Oryzias latipes: one gene and its partner. The protein of the gene in region 2 purifies or fractionates together with the protein of the main gene of each other region. This does not show direct contact. Links are inferred from orthologs where the notes say so. Each region holds a gene or a part of one and is shown on either strand. Other genes may lie near its edges.

The links. Proteins that work in one complex are often made in the same cells at the same time.
Region 1: the proteins of clns1a (region 2) and gar1 purify together in Homo sapiens (affinity purification with mass spectrometry; 3 studies listed by BioGRID and IntAct, counting the BioPlex papers as one, with this or other methods). This does not show direct contact. The link is inferred for Oryzias latipes from reciprocal best matches to the Homo sapiens genes CLNS1A and GAR1.

Annotation. Positions count from the first base shown.
Region 1 is NC_019868.2:3,864,205-3,867,957, forward strand, and holds the start of gar1 (H/ACA ribonucleoprotein complex subunit 1), read right to left. Parts: upstream 2,350-3,753; 5' UTR 2,262-2,349; intron 2,143-2,261; exon of another isoform or gene 2,126-2,142; intron 1-2,125. UniProt on the Homo sapiens protein: Required for ribosome biogenesis and telomere maintenance. Part of the H/ACA small nucleolar ribonucleoprotein (H/ACA snoRNP) complex, which catalyzes pseudouridylation of rRNA.
Region 2 is NC_019871.2:4,488,230-4,491,982, reverse strand, and holds the start of clns1a (methylosome subunit pICln), read right to left. Parts: upstream 2,824-3,753; 5' UTR 2,556-2,823; coding exon 2,437-2,555; intron 1,611-2,436; coding exon 1,474-1,610; intron 1,324-1,473; coding exon 1,195-1,323; intron 1,049-1,194; coding exon 938-1,048; intron 1-937. UniProt on the Homo sapiens protein: Involved in both the assembly of spliceosomal snRNPs and the methylation of Sm proteins.

The DNA of each region.
Region 1 (3,753 bases), on a different chromosome or scaffold from region 2:
GCATGTGCGAATGATTTATTCCGACCGAAAGTGTGACCTTAGTGAACGTTTTTATATTCTGAAAACATTTTTCTGGGCCCATCTACACGGTTGGATTCTAATCCGACCATTGATCCCATCAAGATATTTTGTACATGTAACCGCGGCTTATGGTGTCGACGCGCAACGTGGCGGGGGCGTGGCATCACGATGGTGGTCTCTCCATCGGGATGTCAGTCACCCATCACGATGGACGATGATATCGTCCATCGGCACAACCCTACCCCTAAGTGAGTTACAGCTGCTCATTTCTCTGTAGAAGTCTATGGAAATTTGGCTTCTTGGAGACAGCGGGAACTTCCTGTTTGGAACTCTACGGGAGAGGAGTCACTCAGTCCAGTTCTCATATACAGTCAACTGTCTAAACAGAGGGAATTGTAAGGAACTGGGTTGAAAAATATGAAGGGTGTCAGTTGGTCTGGACTGAGTCTGCTTAGTTTGGTCCAGATTGAGTCCTGAGCGTTGCATTGGGTCTGTAGTCAGACTGCCTTCAACCGGACATTTCTGTTTCCAACCAACCAAAGCTTGTAAAAAAAAAAACGTGTGACTAAAGATCTCTTCAGTCATTGGCCAGGAATTACGAGGGCAGTCAAAGACTAGTGCACTTTGCAATCCCATTGGTCCAGTGGAGGCTGGCTGTAGGGCGGCTAACGGCAAGAGTCACTGATAAGACTTTATGACATGCAGATGGTCGGGAAAACAGTGAGAAGCAACGTGCGTCACATTAAAAGTTGTTTTAATGAGCCTGCATTTATCCAATCACATTTCAATGAGTTGCTGTGTCTCATCGTCATGGTTACTTCCTTTTCCGTTTACATCCCATACGGAGCGGCTACGGTGGCCATTTTTGGTTCCGTTGTTCCACTCTGGGAACAGACTGTATTCAGACTGAAGAACCTTAGAGTACACCAAAGCTCAGTCCGATTGGAAACGAACTGAGAGACCACCTCCACAGATGGAACCAAGCGGTTCCTGGTCCCGCACCAGGGCCCACTTGGGTTTATTCAGACTGAAAATTTGTTCCAGATTGTCGGGGGAAACGAACTTCTGGTTCACTTTAAGAGAACCAACTGTGTGGAGTCTGAATCCACCCATAGACTGATACTATGGGGTAAGGAATGTGTCAAAAAGAAACGCATTTATGAAGACAAAGTTGTGCGGCTGGTTAGAATCTGGACCAATCAGCAGGCTGTTTGTTGGCACATATGTCACGCTAAACTGAGACTTATGAACGTTAAATCAAAGATAGGGAAACAGCGAAATGAGACGTGTTAAAACGCAAAATTTTTTTTTGAAAGCAGAAAAAAATTTAAGAACTATTTAAGCAACTATTTAATACCTTCACTTGCTACTTAAAAAGTTTTGTTTGCAATGTGTTGGCATAAATATCACTTCATTCTCAAAAAATACGGCAGGACATCGCCATTATAATCTGTTTTTTTTAAACAAAACTATGATAAAGATAATTTCCCTTCTAGAAGATCAATAACATTTCAGAAAGTTTAATTCTGTTTTTAGTTTAATAAACGAGGCTCAACGCGCATGCTCACTCAGTTGAATTGAATATCGGGACTCTGTGTATATGCCAATGACCACATGGCGTATATTTGATACTTTTTTAAAGAAAAAAACAACAACACAATGAACAAAGAAAACACCAAAAGCTGAACTGACAAACGCACCAAAACCATGAGCTCCCATGATGCACCTCGCCCGCTGATTGCTATGGCAGTGGGCGGAAACCGAGTCGTTACAGTAAGAATGCAAACAAATGTTTTACTCCTTACAGTCTTACAAAATAGAGCACACAGATAGCCGCCCGCCGCTTTACAACCGCGGAGTGATCCCGTCAACGAATCCAGTCTTCAGCCGCGTGCGACCGTCCCGTCCCGTGTCCGCTGTGCAAATAGTGCGAGTGTTTAGCTGGCAAACACAGCGACACGACAGGTTGCAGTAACCAGAAACACGCGTGGAACCGTGTCCGGAACTTTAACGCGCCCTGAGGCTCCCCCGGTGCCTCACGCGCTAAAAAAACCGGCTTCGGTGAAAGGATCAGCGAGAGCACGTGCTTCCCGGAGCAGCTCACCGTAAACACGACCGTTTAGGCGCGAAACCACCGCTTTCCAGTGGGTTCTTTACACACCCCGCTCATCTGCTGATAAATAATATGACACGTGGAAAACTATTACCCAAGAAAATAAGATGTAAAGGCAAGAACTTACCTGTTATCGCAGAGGAAATGTCCACGTGACAACACGCGCAAGCGCAGGCTGCCGTAAAGGTTGTCTCTGATGTCGCACAGGAGGTTGCCAGATCAGATCATTTCCCGACAAAACTACGCAGTAAAATCAGTAAAGGCAAACACAACCCGGACTAAACTTCCCCCCACATAAAAAAGCTAAACTAAGACTTTTTAATGGTAATTTACAAAATCAAGATAGATTTATTTTATAAAAATATATAAATCAATAAACTATTAGTTGTCGTCTCCTTTTGAGTGATTTGTTGTTTTTATCAGTCTCTTTTTAATCTTTTGCATTTTCTGTGTGTATTTTCTACACAATTGTTCGTGCGGTTCCTAGTAACTTGAGCTGTATTCATAACTTTTTTTGTGGTATTTGCATCATTTGTTATTTAAAAACACTTAAAAAATTATATTAACAAGAAACTTAGCAAATGCAATAGGAAACCTCTGCTGCTGAGTTACACTACGATTTTCCTCTGACTGCACAACCATGACCAGAAATCCAACTTGCATCTGGATCAGACTTCAGCATGTCATTTTCAGGTGTTTGACTGCTTTAAGGTCTGTCACTGCTTCTTTTCATTTGTGAAGTAGGACTAAACTCAGTTTAATCTTTAAAGTAGAATAATATTGGTTATATTGTGTGGGCTATGTGTGAAAACAAAGATTTCAAACTTGTATATCAGTAATTTTTTTCACAATAAGCCTCACAATAGCTAAAGACTGAAATCAACCCCATGTTCCTTTTGACCTTTAGTTGACTGTAAATGTAAATCAGCACAATAATTTGTGGTTATTTTTTTTTACCTTATTCCATAATTTTACACCTCCAGTTCAATATGTTCAATTTTTTTTTGTTTTAGGTGTTAATTGTTTCTGTAATATTGATAGTTATTTGGATGAATACTTTTTTATGTGTGAATAATATTTTAAAGTAATTCTAAAGTAATTTACTACAGCTCTTTCTAGTGACATCTGGTTAACCAACAAAACTCTTTAAGCATAATTTCTAGAAAAACATTTTTTTAAATTTAAAACAAAACATCAGTTTTGAGAAAAACAGCCTGAATTTGTTCATTTTGCCAACTGCAGATGTGTCCAGCCCAAAGAGTTCCAAAGAAGCGGAAACATGACCGATCTGGCAACCCTTGTCTTCTTTGTGTCATAAGCCGACCTGCCCCGTCCTTAAAGAGACAGACCACTCTGACTTCATCAAAAGTTTCGCCAGACAGACGCTGCTCCAATAGTGGAGATGTTTAAGTGTTTGTTGGCTTTTTAAAATTCTGCTGCGCGGGTAACTATGGCAACAGCTGGTCAGGGAGGAATGCTTTTGTTTTCCGAGAGTGTGTGTGTGAGAGAGAGAGAGGAAAGAGTGTGTGATTGTGTTTGTAACCAGTCGTTGATAGTCACATGCACAAACAGCTGAAGCAGGTGTGCTTTCAGAGGTGCAAGGCAGCTGTTGCCTGGAA
Region 2 (3,753 bases):
TGGATCTATTTTTCTAAGTAGATGCAGCAGAAAGGAGCAGGGGGGTTGCAGAGTGCAGTTATGAGCTTTTTTTTAAATGAAAAATGAAATTTAAAGCCTTATTTTCTTAATATTTGTCCTCCAGCATGAGGAAAAAATGCTACATGAACATGTTAAAAACACCGTTTTCATCTGAATGGGTCTTTAGAAAGATTTACTTTCGGGACAATCTGGATTTTTTCCGTCCAGCATCCTGCTCTGTTGTGTTAGCCCGCCCGTCTCTCGCACGGTAAAATGCCAGCAAGCAAAAAGAAGAGGGGCTCGTTCCCAAAAAACATGGAAGGGGTTTGGATTTTCAACTTCAGACTTGAAGCAACAATTTGCAGAATGCGTTAGCAGCTCCCTAAAGCACAAACTGGTTTCAGCAGCTGAGCCAGAGTCAAACGGTGCTGCTTTCTGTGAGACGATCAAGCAGCAGCAGCTCAAAAACACAACGTTTCAGAAGCCTTACAGTCTGTATTCAGTTGCAACTTGAATTGAGGTCCACTCCCAAAGGAAATGTCAAAATAAAAGCATTTCTGCTAGCTATATTCTGTCATTTGTCTTTTTTTTTTTTAAAGAAAGTAAAGAGAGGGGAAAGAAAAAAAATCAATGTAAATCTGAAATCATATTTAGTGTGAAAAAAACAGCAGAGATTTAATTTCCAGGCCATTACAGCCACAGTATGAACTATAAAGAATTAGGGTTAATATTTGAGTTTCTTTTAGTCATCTTCAGCGTTTCACTGACCATCAGTTTCAGCATCAATCAATCACCTGAAAGTTAATATTGATCCAAAAAAATCTGATTATTTTATATATGTGAGAAAATCCTTGCATTTCTGCAAAAATGATGGGAATAAAATAAGAAAAACATTTTAAATAAAGTTTCCCCGGCTGTGTGCGTCTGTTGTCCTTACCAGCTTCCTCCACATTGTACTCCTCTCCTTCGAAGTCGTTGTCTGAGTCTTCGTCGTCGGGGTCTGGATGTAACGCCTGGCACTCGCACATGGCTGAGAACATGGACTCCACTGCGTGGAAACAGACGCAAACATTTCTAATCTTCTACTTTTTATGGCAGACGGGCGGGATCAGGGGGGGGGGGCCGATCCGTGACGGCTACGCGATCTTGATCGGTTAGCCGTCACGGATCGGGTGGCCGTTACCGCTCACTCACATGAAGCTTTGTCTCTGGGAACAAATCGAATTTCTGTGATCACTTCCTCTTCGTCACCGTTGCTGCTGTCACTACCATCATCATCTTCTTCTTCTGCTGCTTTCTCTGTCATCTCAGCTTCACCCTCACCTACAAGAAAACGAACGGATGAAATTGTTGAATGAATGAAGAAAAACCAAAGCAGAAAACCCAGATCTGCTTTCAGGAGATTTGATTTGATTTGAAATGGTTTATTTCAAGCAATCAAATAAGCTTAGAGATGACTGAAGGTTTTCTTACCGCCTAGTTTTCCGTTGACCATGACGTAGAGATGCTCCTCGGGGTAGGCGCTGACATCCCTGGAGATGGCGTGCAGACTGATGGAGGGGTATTCCAGGGAGAAGCCCATCCCTGAGCCGTCGAACCACGACAGGCGCCTGAGACGGACAAAGACACAGATCAGAGGAGGCCGATTCCAACATTAAAAACCAGAAAAAGAGAATCAAGTCTGACGTCGAGTTAGCTGAAAGTGTTGCAGCGCCACGTAACCATAAAGATCTTTATTATAGGCTGCATTTTGACTCACTGACTCCTTTCTATTGAATTATTTATCCATTAACCTGAGAAATAAAATATATTCATTTAAAAATGCACTACCAAACAATAATGAATGATCAGAGGAGTTATGTTGAACCTCAAAGTACATCTTATTAAGATTTCCTGAGCAAATAATCAAGTTAAATTTAATTTCACTAAAAAAAGAAATAACAATAATCACAGGAATTAACTACAGGGACAAATCTAATCTATTATTTTTTATTCAAAGTTATTAAAATGAAAAGATTTAGTTAAACATAGTATTTACACTTCATGTATAGAGTCCATCCAGTGTTAACCTTTAAAATACAAAATTAATATGAAAAAACGGAAAGTTACTCTTTAAAGGTCTTGTGATCAGTTGAGACTAAAGTTAAAGACAAACAAATCAATGGGGATAAATCAATAAACCTATTTTAATTCAATACTTTGACAGCAGAAAATGAACCACGGAACTGTCACGTAAACATGACTTCGATTTAACGTTTTATTTTGAAAAGCAGGGCAATACCGGAAGCTCTTCCTGGGGTCTGAACTAGTGCTAACAAGCTGCAGTTTATCATCGAACATATTATGATGGATACATTTCGGGGTGAATGAAATGTGCATAAAGATTTGCCTCCAACGTGTAACGACCAAAACACGCGCGCCACGTGGATCACTTACGTTTCGGCGACGTACAACGTGCCACAGCCGAGCTGCTGCCCGCTCAGCACCGCAGTGGTGTTGGCTTCCTCGTGGCGCACTCCCTCGGTAGGAGGACGGAGGTTTCTCACCAGAACCATCGTCCGTTAGACCGTTAACGTGGGCCCGAACAGAACAGAACTGCTTTGGAACCCAAAAGGAAGAGCCGTGACCCACTTCCGGTAACAGAGCGGCTTAGTTTAACCGCAGTAAGCCTCGTTTCAGGACAAAACTCGAGTCACGACAAGGGAATTCTGGGGGGGGAAATTACAACAGAAAACGTAAAATCCGAAACAGCCAGACAGCGAGCGCTTGTTGATACTGAAATATCGCGGTTTCTTCCTTACGTCAACGAATCACGTGACCAGCGTGCCTCCTCAAGCCATCTGTGGCATATTTTTTACACTGCCCTCTAGTGGCTGTTTAGCTGATTACACCCATTCCGAACTTTTTTATTTTTAATTTTTTTAAACAGTGACGCCCCCCCCCCAAAAAGAAATATTTTCTTATTTAAAAAACACAAGCACAACCTTTTGACTATATAAATATATATACGTATATATACACAGTCAGGACCATAAATATTTGGACAGAGAGATATTATTTCTAATTTTGTTTCTGTACATTACCACGGTGAATTTTAAATAAAACAACTCAGATGTCATTGAAGTGCAGACTTTCAGCTTTTATTCCATGGGTTGAATAAAAAGATTGCATCAAAATGTGAAAAACTATCCTCTGTCACTAATCATTCAAAGAAGTCACGTTTTTTCTGAGAGAAAACCTTTTGTGGCCTTCGGTTCACCTAAAGAGCCAAATCCCAGTTTAAAGCCTGGGATTCCTTAGATTTCTAAGGTACCCTTTTTTTTAGCATTTCAAAAGATGATGATGAGATAAACAGGGTGGGGGGTCTCACACACTTACCAATTTATCAACTCAGATTTAAAAAAAAAAACTCAAATTTTGTAAATTATCTTTAATGTATTCTTTCTAATTGGTTTACTTTACACAGTCTAAACATTTCTAAGACTCTACAAGTCACATCAGCAACTTTTTAGCAAATAAAACTCAACAGACATCATGTGACTCAGTGTGACACGGCTGACAAATGAGATTTGAAAATGTTCCAGGTGTTCATATTTGAGCACAATGAAGGGTCATCGGTGAGTTTGACCCACAGAGACAGAGAGGAATCATGACCGGTTCTCACCTGTCAGAAGCTATCTGAAAGACGGACGATGATGTTCACACATGAAGAGGAATATTTATTGGTCAAAATCAAGAACATTTCATGCCTCT